Linked DNA regions of Macaca fascicularis. The protein of the gene in region 3 interacts with the protein of the main gene of each other region in a pairwise test. Links are inferred from orthologs where the notes say so. Each region holds a gene or a part of one and is shown on either strand. Other genes may lie near its edges.

What was found.
Region 1: the proteins of EGFR (region 3) and EZR interact in binary tests that used the Homo sapiens proteins (3 or more experiments, as listed by UniProt). The link is inferred for Macaca fascicularis from reciprocal best matches to the Homo sapiens genes EGFR and EZR.
Region 2: the proteins of EGFR (region 3) and ARHGEF7 interact in a protein complementation assay, tested with the Homo sapiens proteins (3 studies listed by BioGRID and IntAct, with this or other methods). The link is inferred for Macaca fascicularis from reciprocal best matches to the Homo sapiens genes EGFR and ARHGEF7.

The regions. Positions count from the first base shown.
Region 1 is NC_088378.1:67,100,513-67,106,829, forward strand, and holds the end of EZR (ezrin), read right to left. Parts: coding exon 6,209-6,317; intron 5,845-6,208; coding exon 5,752-5,844; intron 3,613-5,751; coding exon 3,361-3,612; intron 3,177-3,360; coding exon 3,012-3,176; 3' UTR 1,814-3,011; downstream 1-1,813. Other genes in the region: SYTL3 (synaptotagmin-like protein 3), read left to right, coding at 271-380. UniProt on the Homo sapiens protein: Probably involved in connections of major cytoskeletal structures to the plasma membrane. In epithelial cells, required for the formation of microvilli and membrane ruffles on the apical pole. Along with PLEKHG6, required for normal macropinocytosis.
Region 2 is NC_088391.1:101,798,963-101,804,820, reverse strand, and holds part of ARHGEF7 (rho guanine nucleotide exchange factor 7), read right to left. Parts: intron 4,326-5,858; coding exon 4,239-4,325; intron 1,646-4,238; coding exon 1,477-1,645; intron 1,376-1,476; coding exon 1,236-1,375; intron 1-1,235. UniProt on the Homo sapiens protein: Acts as a RAC1 guanine nucleotide exchange factor (GEF) and can induce membrane ruffling. Functions in cell migration, attachment and cell spreading. Promotes targeting of RAC1 to focal adhesions. May function as a positive regulator of apoptosis.
Region 3 is NC_088377.1:75,199,462-75,205,319, forward strand, and holds part of EGFR (epidermal growth factor receptor), read right to left. Parts: intron 5,062-5,858; coding exon 4,964-5,061; intron 4,197-4,963; coding exon 4,029-4,196; intron 3,663-4,028; coding exon 3,615-3,662; intron 2,879-3,614; coding exon 2,770-2,878; intron 1,242-2,769; coding exon 880-1,241; 3' UTR 1-879. UniProt on the Homo sapiens protein: Receptor tyrosine kinase binding ligands of the EGF family and activating several signaling cascades to convert extracellular cues into appropriate cellular responses.

The sequences.
Region 1 (6,317 bases), on a different chromosome or scaffold from region 3:
CACTCCCTTGGTGAAGACCCAGCCCACCACACCAGAGTCCTTGCCTCACTTTCAAACTACAGAGCTCCGGGCTGTTAAGAGTCTCGCAGAGCAGAGTGCCTGGGTTAACCCGTCTCCACACTAGCTTTGTTGGGGTGGGGGTAGTGGTGGTTGGCCTTTTAGTGTGGACTGAAGGTGAAAAACTTTTCTGGCTGGTCATTTTCAAAGAGCTGAGAGGGGATGAAGTGGTGCCCTCCCTGACCATGGCTAAGCTGTCATCCTCTCTTACAGAGGGAGACACAGCTGGTGGCGGGGATGCATGCTCACAATCGAAGCTCCAGTGGCAAAAAGTCCTTTCCAGCCCCAATCTATGGACAGACATGACCCTTGTCCTGCACTGATGCGAAGGCCTCGAGGTTCCAGGTCGCAGTGGGTGTGAAGCACTGTGCGTCTGCAGAGTGGGGCTGCAAACCAGGGGCAGGGTCCCAGCTGGAGACCCTTTGGACCTTGAGCAGTCTCCATCTGCAGTCCTGTCCCGTGGCTTAAATGCCTACTGGTATCTGTATATTTAAGTTAAACACAATAATGTATGTTACCTAAGCCTCTGGTGGGTTATCTCCGCGATGGAGAAAATGGCCAGATTTCAATAAATGTTGTTACCGGCATCCTCCAGTGCTTATCAAATGGTAAAAGGCCGGCTGGTGGGCACGGTGGCTCCCCACCTGTAATCTCAGCAACTTTGGGAGGCTGCAGTGGATGGCTTGAGCTCAGGAGTGTGAAATCAGCCCAGGAAACACAGAGATACCCTGTCTACAGAAAAAACAAAAAATTGGCCGGGCGCGGTGGCTCAAGCCTGTAATCCCAGTTTGGGAGGCTGAGGCAGGGGGATCACAAGGTCAGGAGATTGAGACCATCCTGGCTAACCCGGTGAAACCCTGTCTCTACTAAAAAATACAAAAAACTAGCCGGGCGAGGTGGTGGGCGCCTGTAGTCCCAGCTACTCGGGAGGCTGAGGCAGGAGAATGGCGTGAACCCGGGAGGCGGAGCTTGTAGTGAGCTGAGATCCGGCCACTGCACTCCAGCCTGGGTGACAGAGCGAGACTCCACCACAAAAAAACCCAAAAAATTATCCGGGTGTGGTGGTGCACACCTGTAGTCCCAGCTACTCAGGAGGCTGAGCCAGGAGGATAGAGAACAGGAGGTTGAGGCTGCAGTAAGCCCTGACTACACAACTGTGCTCCAGCCTGGGCCAAAGGAAGACCCTGTCTCAAAAAAAAAAAAAAAAAAAAGTCACAGCTTAAAGGAGCATTTTATTTTTTTGAGATGGAGTCTCCCTGTGTCGCCAGGCTGAAGTGCAGTGGCACAATCTCAGCTCGCTGCAACCTCCAACTCCTGGGTCCTAGCAATTCTCCTGCCTCAGCCTCCCAAGTAGCTGGGATTACAGGCATGCGCCACCACACCTAATTTTTGTATTTTTAGTAGACGGCCTTTCACCATGTTGGCCAGGATGGTCTCCATCTCCTGACCTTGTGAACCGCCTGCCTCGGCCTCCCGAAGTGCTGGGATTACAGGCATGAGCCACCGCACCCGGCGGTGAGCAGCATTTTAGAGGAGCCTGGTGAGTTGGAGTGTCCTCTCCCATGGAAACTGTCTCCAGAGGAGGTTAGGTGACCTACGGAGCACCATGTCTTGGGTTGGTCAGCTCTAACTTACCAGTGTATCCCCAGGGACACCATGGCCCCTCACAAAACCCAGCCGGAGGACAGCATAGAGCCCAGGCAAGTCGGCGGTGGCCCTCCCACCCCACACACAAGTACACAGCCATGCTGCTTCGTGCCTTTGCAAAGCTTTTATTTCATGTCTGCAGCATGGAATCCACCTGCACATGGCATCTTAGCTGCGAAGGAGTAAGCAGTGCACGAGAAGGAACGAGTGGGCAGAACCAATGGCCTCCACAAGCTGCCTTCCAGCAGCCTGCCAAGGCCATGGCAGAGACTACAAACAAACACAAGCAAACAGTCTCTCCATGGCTGGAGTCTGAAAGGTCATAGTGGCATGTGTGTATTTGACAAAATTAAAAATGTGCATAGTCCATTATATGCATAAAACACTAACAATAAAAATCCTGTTTACACGTGACTGCAGCAGGCAGGTAACCAGCTTCACCACTGCCCTCCTGCCACATCACATCAAGTGCCATGGTTAGAGGGTTTTTCATATGTAATTCTTTTATTCTGTAAAAGGTAACAAAATATACAGAACAAAACTTTCCCTTTTTAAAACTAATGTTACAAATCTGTATTATCACTTGTATATAAATACTATATAGCTGATCATTAATAAGGTGTATAAGTACAACAATGTATTCTAACTGTTAAGCAAAAAAACCTAAAAAAAACCTAAAAAAAACCTAAAAAAAATTTATCCAAGTGTCCTACATACACCACTCACGCTGGTGATCACTGCTCTCTGCCAGCTGCGTGGAGTGACGGAAGGAGGGAATCATTGTGTGTGTATGTGCCAGAGTGCTTCAAACTCAATTTCCCAAAAAAATTTTCACCCCTCAAAGCATGTAAATATACAAAGATGGATCCTTCATAGAAATTAAAAACAAAAACCAATTTGAGCTCATTTCAAATACAGAACAAGTATGGCACAGATGGAAGCCGCGGTTTCCTTTAACGATGCTGACTCTCGTATCACACAGGCCAGCATGAAGTTTCTTACTCAGACTTTACAGGCATTTTCCGTAATTTAATCAGTCCTGCTCCCAGCACAACACAGGAGGTGATTTGAGAATAATCGCAAGAATCAGGCCTGCTTGGCACTATGATACAACTGGGGAAAACCAACCAGGGCGCCTCCCTGGTTCCCAACCCAGAATGTTTCTGTTGGGTAACTGCTTTTTAAAGGAACTGGGCTTTTGGAGTTCCTAGACTCGGAGCACTAAAGACACAAGCGTGGCGAGGCTGGCAGCGCCGGCGGCAGCGCCCGCTGTGAGCGCCCCTCTGCCCTTGGTCCTGGCCTGGCCATTACAGGGCCTCGAACTCGTCGATGCGCTGCTTGGTGTTGCCCTGCCGGATCTGCCGCAGCGTCTTGTACTTGTCCCGGCCTTGCCTCATGTTCTCGTTGTGGATGATGTCATTGTGGGTCCTCTTATTCTCATCTCGGGCCTGGGACAGCTCGCTGCTCAGCGTCTGCAACATTAAGCAGCATTGGTCAGGTCCCTTCCTCCCCATATGGCCCAGCCCCTCCCCTAGGAAAATGGGAAGGGCAAGAGGGGTGCTAGGTGGGGCTGGCTCACATCACTGCCTTCCCCAAGCCTGTCTGCTGCAAGAGCAAGGCGGGCCCCCTAGAGACACACAGCCCCTTGGGCCTCACCAGCAGCTGCCGCTGCACACGCTCATTCTTCTCCGCCTCAGTGATACGCTTCTCCTCATTGCGGTCATCCCGGATGCCCTCACTAGACAGCTCTGCACTGTAGCCCGTGGGCTCCGCACCCTCATCCTGCAAGCTCTCCTGGACATGGTAGCTCAGTGGCTCGTACATGGGGGGTGGCGGGGGCGGGGGTGCCGTCATCACCAGGTGTAGCTCCTCCTTGGTCTTCACCAGGTCATCCTGGGCTTCTTTGGCCTTTGGAAAGCAAAATTAGTAGGTGAGAACTTCTCACCCAAAAGTCCTATCCTCCTGGCTATAAGAACCAACTGTTGCCTCCCTCTGTCCTGGCACGCTAAGGCAGCACTAAACCGTGCTGGGCCATGGCTTCGAAGAAGAGCCCCTCAAAGTGCATGTGGGGTTGACAACCCTCTGCATCCAAGACAGGAAGAGGAACTGTGATGCCGGAGCCTGGGCAGTTTTAAAACTACCATTTCTTTTTTTTTTCTGTCTATAACTCTAGACGTTATATAATTTTTAGGAAAAAAAATCCTGTTAAATGAGTAACAGGCTCTGTTCCCAGCCTCCCCTCATGCCACGGTCATTATCAAGTGGTCTCCTGCTCACCACTTGCAGTCCTTCCAACAGCGTCACACATGCCCAGTCCTGCCCGCCTCCATCCCAGCCCTGGAGTCGAGCTTAGTGTGGATCTGCGCTGGAGCCAGCTCTCCTCACTTACCTCTTAACAGGTACTTTCTCAAAAACCTAAGAACCAAAGTCTTCTGCTTGCAACTTCGGATGGTGATATGGCTGTGTCCCCACCCAAAGCTCATCTCCAACTGTAATCCCCACATGTCGGGGGGGGGGGGGTTTACCTGGTGGGAGTGACTGGATCGTGGGGTGGTTTCCCCTATGCTGTTCTCGTGCTAGTGGGTGGGTTCTGAGTGAGAGCTGATGGTTTCAGTGTTTGGCACCACCCCCCTTTGCTTTTCTCTCTTCTGCCCTCACGTAAGAGGTGTGCCTGCTTCCCCTTCACCTTCTGCCATGACTGTAAACTTCCTGAGGCCTCCCCAGTCATGTGGGACTGTGAGTCAATTAAACCTCTTCTTTAACTACCCAGTCTCAGGTAGTTCTTTACAGCCGTGTGAGAACAGACTAATACAGATCGGCAGCAGGAATGGGGGCTGGAACAAAGGCAAGGAGGCACTGGCCAGAAGTGGCCCTGGAGAGCCAGGAGACACGTCCCCAGAAGGCACCACCACAGATGGAGAAGCCACAGTGGGGGAAGGACAGGCCAGAGGATCTGTGAAGGAGAAGAGCTTCTTAAAGCCTGGTGTGCAGTCTCCAATGGGAACCATCCCCAGACTTTCTCAGGGGCTGTGCCTTCCTGGAGGGCAGAGGGGATCCCAGCTTCTCTCTCCCAGAGAGAAGCTCTGTGTGCGTCTCACAGTGACAGCTACAGCTGATTAAACCTCTGTTTGCCAGGTCCTGGGCATGGGACCTCACATCTGCAGAGCAACTTTATGAGTTGGGTATCACCCCCATTCTACAATAAGGAAAATGAGGCTGGGAGAGGTGATGCTACTAGCTCCCCGTCAGATAGCTGATGGGCAGCAGAGCCCGGCTCTTGCTCCAGCCGAGAGAATTCCAAGGACCTGGATCTTTTCATGGTGCCCGCTATATATACCAGCTGCAGGAGGTTGTGTTTCAGGCACTGCGACCCCATTGCAAGGTGCACATATATAATCAGATTTAAAACCAATTCAGATCAGCTGTCAGAGGAGGCTGTCAGATCAGCACTGAACAGTTTGGGGTGGAGGGAGCAAGGTCGTGAAAGTCAATCAGAAGTCCTCCCTCTATGAATCCAGCAGCTGCAATGACTCAAGTACAAAGTCAAACCCATCTCTTTGGGGATGTCTTTTTTTTTTTTTTTTTTTTTTTTTGAGACGGAGTCTCACGCTGTTGCCCAGGCTGGAGTGCAGTGGCGCGATCTCGGCTCACTGCAAGCTCCGCCTCCCGGGTTCCCGCCATTCTCCTGCCTCAGCCTCCTGAGTAGCTGGGACTACAGGTGCCCGCCACCGTGCCCGGCTAATTTTTTGTATTTTTAGTAGAGACGGGGTTTCACTGTGGTCTCGATCTCCTGACCTTGTGATCCGCCCGCCTCGGCCTCCCAAAGTGCTGGGATTACAGGCTTGAGCCACCGCGCCCGGCCGGGGATGTCTACTTCAGTAATACAACTGGTATCGGCAGAGGATCGTGAGACTCCCAGAAGCTTCCAGTAGGACATGGCAGCTGAGCCAAACCTCTCCCCCAACCCACCCACCTGCAGAAGGGCCCACTGCCCAGGCAGTGGGCAACAGGTGCCGTGGCCGTGCGGCTTCCCCCATGCAGACTCACCCTGTGCTGCCACTCTTCAACCTCATCCTCCTTGCGCCTCCGCGCCTCTTCCAGGAGGGCAATCTTGGCAGTGTATTCTGCAAGCTCCGCAGCCTGGGAAGGGAATGCCAAGCTAAAGTGACTTCTGATATCCTTTCAAGAGTCCAGTTGTGAATGAGTGTTAATGTGTGTTGGTGAGCAGCCTCCACTGTGACATCTGAGTCCCCGTCACCCCCACTTCATGGCTAGCAGGGTTCATCGTGCACCCTCCCTACCATCACTTCCTGGATGCCCACACCCACCTTCAACGGGTGACCCTGGCAACAGCCCGGCCCCTTCCCCGCCAGCTGCTTCATTCCCCAGCAGATCAGCTTACAGCTTCCAGTCATGACAATTATTACAAGGCAGGTGTCACATTTTCCGTCCTCAGAAGCAGCCTCTCTATAATTCAGCATCTTGAAACTCAGGCCATTCCTACCAGCTGCTCCTGGCTCTTTATCTGATCCACCGCCTGTCTCTCCAGCTCCTCCTTAGCCCGCAGCGCGGCCATGCGGTCAGCCTCTAGGCGCTCAGCCTCCTCCTGCGCC
Region 2 (5,858 bases), on a different chromosome or scaffold from region 3:
GAAGTATGCTTTATGCTAAAATTAGAATATGACTTCAGTTGGACAGAGTTAGATCACAGGAGAATACATCATCCCACAAAAGAAACTCTGTAGGAGAACGCAGAACATTTTAAACATGAGGCACAGTGCCTTCCCCGCCACCAGTGAAAGAAACACTAAGACGGAGGGTCTGGCCGCAGAGAAAAGCTGACTTGATGTAAAATTGTATGAAGTAGAGTTTCAGGCTGCTGTTGAAAATCTGAGTGAAGCAGCTCATCCACTGTTCTTTATAAACACACGTGTACACATGTCGCTGGGATAAACTGATCTCCACGAAAGAATGGAGAATTTTAAAACGGCAGAGCCATTAAAGATGAAATGCTAGCTAAAAGCCAATGAGTAGTTATCTGCACACTGCTGAGAGAAATCAGATGGACTCTGAAACTGATGAGAATATCAGAATACAGCAATCCTTCTTGATCTACAACCTTCCCATGAAGAAGAAAACATGAAAACTGAGCACACGACAGAACTGATCCTAATAACCTAGTAAGGATGTGAGGGAATCTGCAAGCTGAAAATGCCGTGTCATCGCCACTCATTCTTTAAAAGCTCTGCCCAGTTTTTCGGTATTACTTGATAAAGATGACGACTGTTAAAACAACCCGATACCAACTTCTTGAGCAAAAAACACCAGGAGAGGTTTAAACACTGCAACCGAATTCAGTGTTCATCTATTTTGAAAAGTTGTAATTCTCTAAAAATTCAAAGAGTTGCTGAGCTTTTCTAAGTAAAAGACACCTCAATTTCTTAAAATCAACAGTGTGTCATAAACTCTATTTTAATGCCTTCAACATGAATCTGGCCCTTTTCATCATCATAATCATTTATTTTCGTTTTCTTAAATGAAGCATAATAAACAGTTAAAATTCTCAGAAAAATCATCTATAGTTTAGTGTAAAACTCCCCTAAATTAGTCTTCTAAGGCCACGCTGAGCAAAAGCAGCTTCCCACCCAAGCACCTCTGAATTGTGCGTGAGGAGGCACAATTCAGGGTTGTTTCTCGAGAACACTCATTGGAAAACAATTCACTACTGCACAAAGAGGGCCAAATATTTTCAGAGAAATATCAAGCAAGCGTTTGCATTTTTATCCCAATATTGATCAGGTTTTAAAGCACGTGATCACTTGCTGACAGCTCAGCCACGGGATGCCACGCCTGGAGTCTGGAAGGAGAAGAAGCGCCAGGTCCTTACGGTATGAGACGGCACCGAATGAGGCTTTATGGTGGGGTTTCCCACAGATGTGACCTTCGTTTGCTTCTGTAGGTGGTCCACCCATTCCTGCAGATCCTGCTGGTTGTTGCATGACACTAATATCCGCTCGATCATGCTCCCTAGAGGAGAGAAGGAAAAAATAGGCCGAGTGGAAACACAGGTAAAAAGCGCGTGCATGCACACACAGCCCCCAGAATTCCACTCAACGCTTAAACACCACCTTCTGAAATATGCAAGCAAGAATCTGCACGCGGGGACAAGCTGCCTCTCCTCCCCGAGACACGGCACTCACACAGCTTGTGCCTATCACCTGATATTTCAAATGCATTTCTATGGTTTTCACTGTCCTCAAGCTTTGTGATTGTCATTCCTGTCGTTGGAAGCTTTCCCTAAAAAAGACCCCCCCACAAAAAAAAAACAATTAGTGCTTTTCTAGAAAAAGGTACCATTATTAAAGTAATATTAAATGATTTTAGAATTGGTGGAGGAACTGTGTTTGTGAACCAAAAAGAGTTCGTTTGTAGCAGATGCATGTATAATACAAAAATCTTTATCTCAAATAATAAATCATATTAATACTATACTGTAAGCAAGAAACTCAACTGGCGACAAGGGACAGACTGACAAGCCCAAACACACACTGCATCTGATGAGCTGCTACTAAACAGACACCAGGACAAAAAATCTCACATTATGATTTTTTAAAAACTACCACGTGTAACAGTTGTTTTAAACGATGTTTTTGCAGAAAAGCAGCATGTATTTGCCTCATAAAGAAATACAGAGGAAGCTCCAAGTTTAAAGTCAAAATAAGGGTGGGAAATTGAGGCAAGAACAAGAATTGCCTAACATTCTACTTTATAATCCACCAAACAGAAAATAAGTAGTTGTGCTAAATGCTGCACACAATGCAGAAAATGGTTGGCAAACCAATGCTCCCTGAAAATGGAAGAAATCAGTAACTGCAACAGGAAATGTCAATGGAAAAGATACCAGAAACGGGGTACAAAGTGATCATTACAAACAAATCAGAAGTGAACACAAAACAGTCTGGCGCAGCTGACAGAAACTACAGTACACGGTGGCCCACCAAGTCCTCAGGAAGAGGCAGTGGCATCTGGGTCGTGCTGCCTGGGGAGCACTCCATCAGCTGCGGAGCGAGATTCTGCATGAGCACCTCCAGTGGGAGTGCTGCTCAACGGGTGTGGGGAACGTGCCCCCACAGAGAATGGGTGGCAGTGCCACAACCTGGCAGGGGCTCAGACATCCAGCAAGTAAGGGCCAGAGAGGCTGCCTATACCCCACAGTACCCAGGACAGTCTCACTGAGCCCTCAGCCCCGGGCCATGAATGATCCAGTCCAAAACGTCAGCAGTGCCCAGGTGGAGAAATCTCATCCTAAAGCACGGCAGGTGGAAGAGGAGACTGCTGGACACTTCTGTGGCCAAGCGTATTTTAAAAATGCTACACACTGTGAACTCCTTTCCAAGATTCACAATGCATGTAAGTACTTTAACAGCTGTGAGTGCTACAGAAAATGAAACTGCACAACTGTGTTTAACCTAGCCCACCGGAACATCGGTGTACAGAGCACTGTGGCTGTGGCTGGATCGAACACTTTTTAGCATCCCCCAAAGCCAGTGTTCCAATGGTAGAAATGAAGACTGACGATACAGAGACCATGGCTCACCACTGTACTAAGAACTGAAAAATAGAATCCTGTCGTTGAGATGAGCCCCAGCAGTCTGTCAGCACGTCAAGGGTAAAGCCAGTGTGAGCCCCAGTCCCACAGGCAGAGACTCAAGCCTGCCACGAGTGGCAACCTCTTCTCCCTTAGGCTAGAGAAGGCTCCTGTCTCCAGCCACTGGAATGAGACTCTGGGGATATAAAATAGGAAGCCAGATAGTGCTGACCAGAAAGGACAGAGATTTAGGTTTATCAAGGTCATTTAACAAAGAAGTAGCTGCTAGTTTATTGGAAAACTCTAGTGGGCACCACCTTAGCCACAGATCACCTCTCTTCAGCAGTGGCCTTACAAACTACAGCCTTATTTTCCTGAGTCTTTTCCTATATATGTGATTCATCAATTCTAAAGCACCCGTTTTAGAGTAAGCGTATGACGACAAGTCCTCTCTGGGTGGTCGACAAAGCCTCTGTGAAGGCACAGTGTCTGCTTAGGGCTCTCTAACGCCCTTGCTGGGACGACACAAAACAACACATGCTACAATGAAACGCAACCCAGGGAACACGAAGTGGTGGCTTCTGCTGCAGTGGTTATGTGGTGACTGGCCAGTCCTCAGAAAGTTGATGGGAAGGATATGAGCCTCTATTACTTCACAGAAAAAAAAGAATGAAACCTGCCAAGTGCATCTACTAGACAGCAAAAATACCAGCTCCTTCACATACCACCACTATAAACCACTGTCATAACAGAGAAGGCCCTGCTCACCCTTGCACCTCCTTCTCAAATCCGCTGTCACATTTTCTCCAAGAAAAGCAGGGAAACAAAAATTAAAAAGGTTCAACAATCACACACTGCTACTTACATACGTACATCACTTTCTATTTGCTGATGCATTTGGGCAGTGCTGTGCCACTGACACAAGACCTTAGTCTACACTACCCCACTAACCCACAAGCCCTAGCTGAACCCATTTCACAGAACAAAACTATAGCAAGGAGCAGCAAGGTATTTTGCATGAAATGACAGAAGGCAATGACAGAGGCTGACTTGTGCCACAGTCATCTGTGTCCTTATGAAGTTGCTCTACATTTACACTTCTTTCCTTTTTTAAAATGAACATAGGATATGCTTGCATAGTCACAGCGAAACATAAACAGGAGCCGTACATCCATATCTGAACATACGGCATTACACACACAGCACATACACAGATACATGTAATATTTAACACAAAATTCAAAGTCAGCTTGAAATTATCCTCAGATCCACAATAAAATATAAATTTAGATGGTGTTTTACCTGATAGATAAAGCCACTCATCCTAGGACTGGCAGACAACATCAGCAAAACATTTGGGAAGAGTAGAAGATATCTTTCATTCTTTTCCTAATACAAAAAAAGAAACCCAAAACATTTCTTAAACAACATCTACTTACAAATGTGAGCACAAATACTTATTTATACTAGACCCTATGAAACATCACATGGTATTTCTCATTTAGGTATTTCTGTCAAGTTTTATCAGGTAAATTAAATGGAAACAATTATGATAAATTCTGTATTAAGTCTTAATATATGATTAAGAGAGAGCTTTGACATATAGGTAAAGAGAAGGATTTCTAAATTCTTCAAAAAACAAAAGGTAAGAAACTAAACTGAATGATTAAAAGATCCTGCAGTCACAATTAGCCTGTGTAACATCTTGAAAATATATCTGGTTAAGGAGTTCAGCTCTGTGATTATTTTCAGGTAAGCTAAAATTTTCTTTTTCTGGTTCAGAGAAAAAGGAGAGAACCTATACATTTTAGTGGGGTGAACAGGTGAAGTCTTTAAGCTAAAGGAAGGATAGGATAAAATGTTAAAATCAATTTCAGTCTACTACTAATTCCTGGCACTTCCCAAACCTCCCAAATGTCAAATCAGTGTTGTTCTCATCCACCCCATAAACATCACCTGGTTTACATCAGACTTAAAAGTATTACTTATGTATTAAAAATCACTTGCTTCGGTAAGATAAAAGCCAAAGAGACGATAAGTGAAAGAAAAAAGTTCCTAAGAATCCAAAAAGTGACAAAAAAATGCCAGACAGTCCTTTTCACATGTTGACACTTAAACTACGGCCCCCAAAAGTGTAATCGGTCCTAGGAATTAGTTTCCCCACGTATATTCCTCAGAACATTAGGCTTACGCAAAGCACCTTGAAAAGAGTCTTCCATACTTTAAAGAAGCCACTGAGAACGACTTGCTACAGCCCCCTCTTGAAGACTCACAACATACTTTGGGAACATTGAGAGCCAAGTCTCTGAGGAGCTCTGTCATAAAGAATCTTTTCCACTAATCATGTTCAGTCGTGATCAGAACCACTCTGAAGCATTCTGAAGTAACACCCACCAGCATTGTGTAGATCTAATATTATAAAGAACACACTTTGGGAAATGTTTACACATTTAATTTTAATTTTAAAAATTAAAGTTTAAAAGAGCATGATTCAAAAAGAAACTGCTTCTGAAAAGATGTGAGGTTTTTACAATCACGGTTTCTTACGGTACCCAAACTACAGGACTATGTAGAAGGGGTGATATTTTATAGGTGGAAAGGAAAACACACTGTGAAAGTTTCAAGTTTTAGTTTTCTTTTTCTCCTTAGAGTCTCATGTTCAAAAATGAGTCATTTAGCATGTTTTGATCATGTTATTTTTGCAGAGGTAGAATAAAATTCAAAAAGAGGTGCCTGTTTAGTGACCCACTGAATGTATGTCAATGTGAATCATGAAACAAACTGCTCGATTTTCACTGTGTGGGTGGGTATGTCCCAAAAATCTGAGTTGATCTCTCACTTAAACCAAACCCGTAAGAAAACTGTGACTCCTGTAAGCATATGTCAGCTAGCATACTTTCACAGGAAAGTATAATGACCTGA
Region 3 (5,858 bases):
TGGTCTGAATGCCGATGAATCCAATGTGGGCTGGAATCCGAGTTATTATTTGATGTGTCATCCTCTCTTGCTGATTCCATGACAGCAAGACAGGAGCAGCATACTGAGTTTCAAAACAATGGAATGGAAGACAAACAAGTCAGTCTAACGCTCACGACTGGAAACCACTAGTCAACCAGTGGGGAGTAAGTACCGTGGGGACATTTTTACAAAAGTAAGTCTAAGGAAGAATTCTATCCCCTCCATTTCTTTTTTGCCCAGGAAGGGACAGAGTGGCTTATCCTATTGTACCTGCCATGACTTGATACAGTACCGATCCGGCCTGCTGGGGCCATGAAGGGCTTCTTGGATCTTTAGTGTTTTGCAGTGGAAGCCTTGAAGCACAACCACTGGAATCAAGCGTCCACTGGAAGACTTGTGGCCTGTGCTCCTTGCTCACAGTTGGGCCTGGATGAACTCAGGGTGGCAAGTGCTACCAGCAAGCTTCTTCTTTGTTGGAAGAGCCCACGGAAGTAAAAATGAATAGTGACAATGAAAAACTCCAAGATCCCCAATCAATAAAAATCCTGACATATACTTTTTTTTTTTTTTTCAAATATACTTCCTTGAAGGATAAACTTCTGCTCAAAGGGACAATATTCTTGCTGGATGCGTTTCTGTAAATGCTTCACAGTTTGAAGACAAAGGAATGCACCTGCAACTTCCCAAAATGCGCCCGAGGTGGAAGTACTTCCTGGCTGATCGGTGTAAACGTTGCGAAACCAGTCTGTGGGTCTAAGAGCTAATGCGGGCATGGCTGTTGGGATGGAGGACCCGCTGTGGCTTGGTCCTGGGTATTGACAGAGTCTGGATTTTAAGGGCTCATGCTGTCCTCCGTGGTCATGCTCCAATAAATTCACTGCTTTGTGGTGCGACCCTTAGGTATTCTGCATTTTCAGCTGTGGAGCCCTTAAAGATGCCATTTGGCTTGGCTTCCTTGGGAAAGAAGTCCTGCTGGTAGTCAGGGTTGTCCAGGCTAATTTGGTGGCTGCCTTTCTGGGCCCAATGAGCAGGGCTGTCGAATGTGCTGTTGACACAGGTGGGCTGGACAGTGTTGAGATACTCGGGGTTGCCCACTGCGGTGCTGTGGGGGTCCTGGTAGTGTGGGTCTCTGCTGGGCGCAGGGTTCAGAGGCTGATTGTGATAGACAGGATTCTGCACAGAGCCAGCGGGCCTTTTGGGAACAGACTGGTTTATGTATTCTGAAAGTGGAAAGAAATCAGAGGTGAAGTAATCAGCAAAGCACCATCCCATGCAAGATCCCCGGGTTCTGAACCCTGTGAATGTCTTCAACAGGGAGATTTATGACAGGGAGCAGGAGCCTTGGGAGGACCCTCTTGCTGTTGCTGCAAAAGAAAGTGGGTTCTTTCCTGCACTTCTCAAAGTAATGGACACGTGTGTCTTTTGTAAATTTAAAGTTCTCAGAGGATAGCCTGCTTTGAGGACTGTGTGTGTGTGTGTGTGTGTGTGCATGCATGTGTACATGTATGTGTGGTGTGTATGTGGTATGTGTGTCTGCTGTGTGTATATGAGTGTGTATGTGTGCTGTGTGTGTGGTGTATGTTTGTATGTGTGTGGTGTGTGCATGTGTGGTGTGTATGTGTGTGTATATGTGGTGTGTGTGTACATGTGTATGTATGGTGTGTGTGGTGTGTATGTGTCTATGTGGGTATGTGTGGTATGTGTTTGTGTGTGGTGTGGGTGTGTGTGTACATATGTGTATGTGGTGTGTGTACATGTGTGTCTGTGGTGTGGGTAAGTGTACATGTGTGGTGTGTGTATGTGTGGTGTGTGTGGTGTGTATATGTATGTGTGTGGGGTTTTTGTGGTGTGTGGTATGTGTGTATGTATGTGTGGTGTGTGTGTGGTGTGGGTGTGTATGTGTGCACACATACATGTATGTGGTGTGTGTACATGTCTGTGGTGTATGTGTGTGGCGTGTGTACGTCTGTGTGGTGTGTGTGTATGTGTGGTGTGTGTGGTGTGTATGTGTGGTGTGTGTATGTGTGTATATATATGTGTGTGTATACGTGTGTGTGGTGTCTGTGTGTATATGTGTGTGTATGTGTGGGGGGTTTTTGTGGTGTGTGTGGTATATGTGTGGTGTAAGTGTGTATACATGTATGTGTGTGTGTGGTGTGTGTGGTGTGTGTATATTTGTGTGCATGTGTATGTGTCTGTGTATGGTGTGTGTGGTCTGTGTATGTGTGTGGTGTGTGTATATGTGTGTGTATGTGTATGTGTGTGTATATATGTGTGTGTGTTAGCAGGTTGTGAGTGTCTGGATAAAGCTTAGAATTTATTAATATTAACTAATATTTAATTAGTTAAATATATGTTTCACAGGTCAAGAATAGAGCCAGCAGAGAGAACAGGGATCAAATCTGTCACACACACACATACACATACACAGATGTACACACATCATGCACATACTCACACACACACGTATGTCTGTCGTTTGTTTCATAATCTGGAAATTTTGCAGATTCATTCTTAAAACAGAGGTACAGCAAACAACCCAGACACAACAAGGAGCTTGTGCAGCCTCCATCATGTGTTTATCTGCTCCTTACGCCCTTCACTGTGTCTGCAAACGCCTGCCACTGTTTCCCCCTCTGGAGATGCTGGAGGGAGCACCTGGCTTGGACACTGGGTGGTGGAGACTGGCTGCTGCTGAGTGGGTCGAGGAGGCTGAGGAGCAGGAATGTTTCCAGACAAGCCACTCACCAGGCACTGGGAGGAAGGTGTCGTCTATGCTGTCCTCAGTCAAGGCGCCTGTGGGGTCTGAGCTGTATCGCTGTAAGAAGCTGTCTTCCTTGATGGGACAGCTTTGCAGCTGCAGGAGGAAATGAGGGAAGGTTACTCCAGTCAGGGCTGCTCCAACTTCAGTGTGTGCAAAAATCACCTGAAATCTCCTTGAGATGCAGGTTCTGATTTGTAGGTCGGGCAGGCCTGAGAGTCTGCACCCTAGCGGGTGCCCGTGCTACTGGGCCGCAGGCTGCAGGGCGGGCAGCGGGGCTGTGCTGGGTGCTGTCCAGCAGAACTTTCTGCAGTGAGGGAGGTATGCTATGAGCGGTGCTCTTCAATACGGTCGCCACTAGGCACGTGTGGCTACTGGACACTTCACATGTGTGAGAAACTGAATTTTATATTTCATTTCATTTTAACTTACTAACATTTAAGTTGAAGTAGCCACATGTGGCTAGTGGTTTCTGCATGGCACAATGTGGTCTAGACCAGAGCCTCACATTTCAACAGGCATCAGCATCACCTGGAAGGTGGCTCAAAGAAAGACTACTGGGTGCCACCCCCAGAGGTCCTGATTTGGTTAATCTGGGGCGGTGGCCTGAAAAATGGCATTTCTAACAAGCTGCCAGGTGATGCTGCTACTGGTCCAGGAGCCACGCTTTGAATGGCACTGTGAGGCGTGACAGCCATGCAGGAAAAAACCCACACAGGAAGAAAACTCAAGATTATCTGGGTTAAAATTATTTAGGTTAAGGCATTTTCCACGTATAATAGAGTCGTAGTGCAGAGCTGTAAATGCTGGCTTATAAGGTGTTCATACATACCCCATTTCTATCAATGCAAGCCACAGTGGAATTGTTGCTGGTTGCACTCTGAAAAAGAAACAGAGAAGTTGCCCATGGAATGATTGTACTGTATCTCATCCACTTTTCCTGAATGCAGGTGGTGTGCTTCATGGAGGGTATATTGTGAAGGTGTTTAATTTTTGTCTTAATCATTAGTTTTAGAGCAACTATGTTTAGTTTTGATTTAATTCTGTTCCATAGTGGACCTAAAAGGCTTACAATCAAGTTGTTGCAATGCAACAAAGTAATACACTTATTTAATTGATTTTGATTTTACCATTTGGTTAAAATTGACTTCATCTCCGTGTGAGTTTCACTAGATGGTTATTATTTTCCCTAAAATTCATTTTGTTCAATTTGAGAGACAGCTTGAGAGAGACAGAGGTTTCATACCAGAGAGCTCAGGAGGGGAGTCCGTGACGTGGAGGGGCTGCTGAAGAAGCCTTGCTGTGGGATGAGGTACTCGTCGGCATCCACCACGTCGTCCATGTCTTCTTCATCCATCAGGGCACGGTAGAAGTTGGAGTCTGTAGGGCTTGGCAAATGCATTCTTTCATCCCCCTGGTGCAGAGATTTTGAGGCTATTAGAATGGCCCATAGAGATGCTATTCCACTTCTTGGCTATAGGAGCAGGGCTCTATTGCCAGCAGGTGCCTGTGTGTTTGCCAATTTTCTTATAATGAAATCCCCCTTAGTTCTCTGAATTATAGCTGCCTCCCTCATGGCATGTGGGTGCCTTAAAATAAAACATGAACCATCCTTTGATGCTTGAAAGCCCCTACATGAGATGCAAATAGCTTCTGAGGAAACAGGGAAGAAGCTGCAGCGTTCATCGAGTGTGCACCTTGCTGTGAGGTACTAGGGAGTGTATTTTGCAACATATCTTATTAAATCTTTGAGACCAATCCTGTGAGCCTGGTTTTGGTATTCCCATGTTATGGAAGGAGATAGGTGGATCGGCTGCCTGGGTGATGGGACGAAGTGGAGAGTCAGGGGTGTGAAGCCAGGTCTGCCTGACACCAAGGCCAATAGACCATGCTTCTCTGTTAGACCCAGCTGAAGCTCTGGCTAGCTGGACAGTGAGGATGAGTGTGGGAGGAGAGTTCAGACGGGGACGGGGAGGTGGAGTTGGGTGGGCCCCACTCACGGACCCTGCTTAGTTCACGATGTGGCCTGCGCCTTAACTGAGGCTTGCTCTAATGCGCTGGGGGGTTTAATAATGCGATCTGGGACACAGGGAGGCCAGGTTGGCATGTGACAGAGCACAGTGACATGAGATGCTTATTAGAGGGACTCTTCCCAATGGAAGGACAGGTTACGATTTGTACCTGAATAACAAGGTAGCGCTGGGGGTCTCGGGCCATTTTGGAGAATTCAATGATCAACTCACGGAACTTTGGGCGACTATCTGCGTCTATCATCCAGCCTGGGGAAGGAATGAGAAAAAACAGTGCAATTACAACACTGGAAGAAATGATAAAGACGGCATTGCTTAAAGAAGGCATTGGTGATGCAACACTTCCAGTCAAATAAGTGATGAAAGAACCAAGTATTTGTGGTAGACTTTTCTGTCTTGGCCAACTAGTACTGGTTACTGTTTAAAGACCATGCCAGCACCGTACATTTGAATCAGAATAACAATAATGCCCTCCAGTTTTTCTACGCCCACTCTTCCTGGGGTCAGCATCCTGTGTTGTTGCCTGAGGGGATGGAGCAGTGTGGGTCTGTGCAATTGCTCTCTGTGAACTATCCTGACTGCAGGGTGCCCTGCACCAAGGTCCTCACTCGACATCCACCCTCAGCATTCCTTCAGGCAGGAAATCAGATGCAACGTAGAAAAATAGGCTTTAAAGAATTTGGGATTGGGTCCGGGCCCCTGCCCCTGGCGTCTCCAGTACAGCACATACGCAGTGGGCATACATGCAAGTGAGAGGGCTGGCTGCGCTGGCAACTTCCATAGAAGGATACACTGTTAACTGTGCTGCTGCATGTGACTACCCAACCATCTAAATCCAGATTAAACAAGTTGGAGGTACAGCTACTGCCTGGAAATCCTCATGCCTCTTGAGGGATCACATTTATTTTCCGTCCACAGGATGTCAAGCTATTTTAGGCCAGACTGCTATGTAACCTTAGACGAATCACGTGGCTTCTCTGGATTACAGCTTCCTCAGCTCAAACCAAGGAAGTTAAAAAAGATTAACTCTGTGGTCTAGAGTTCAG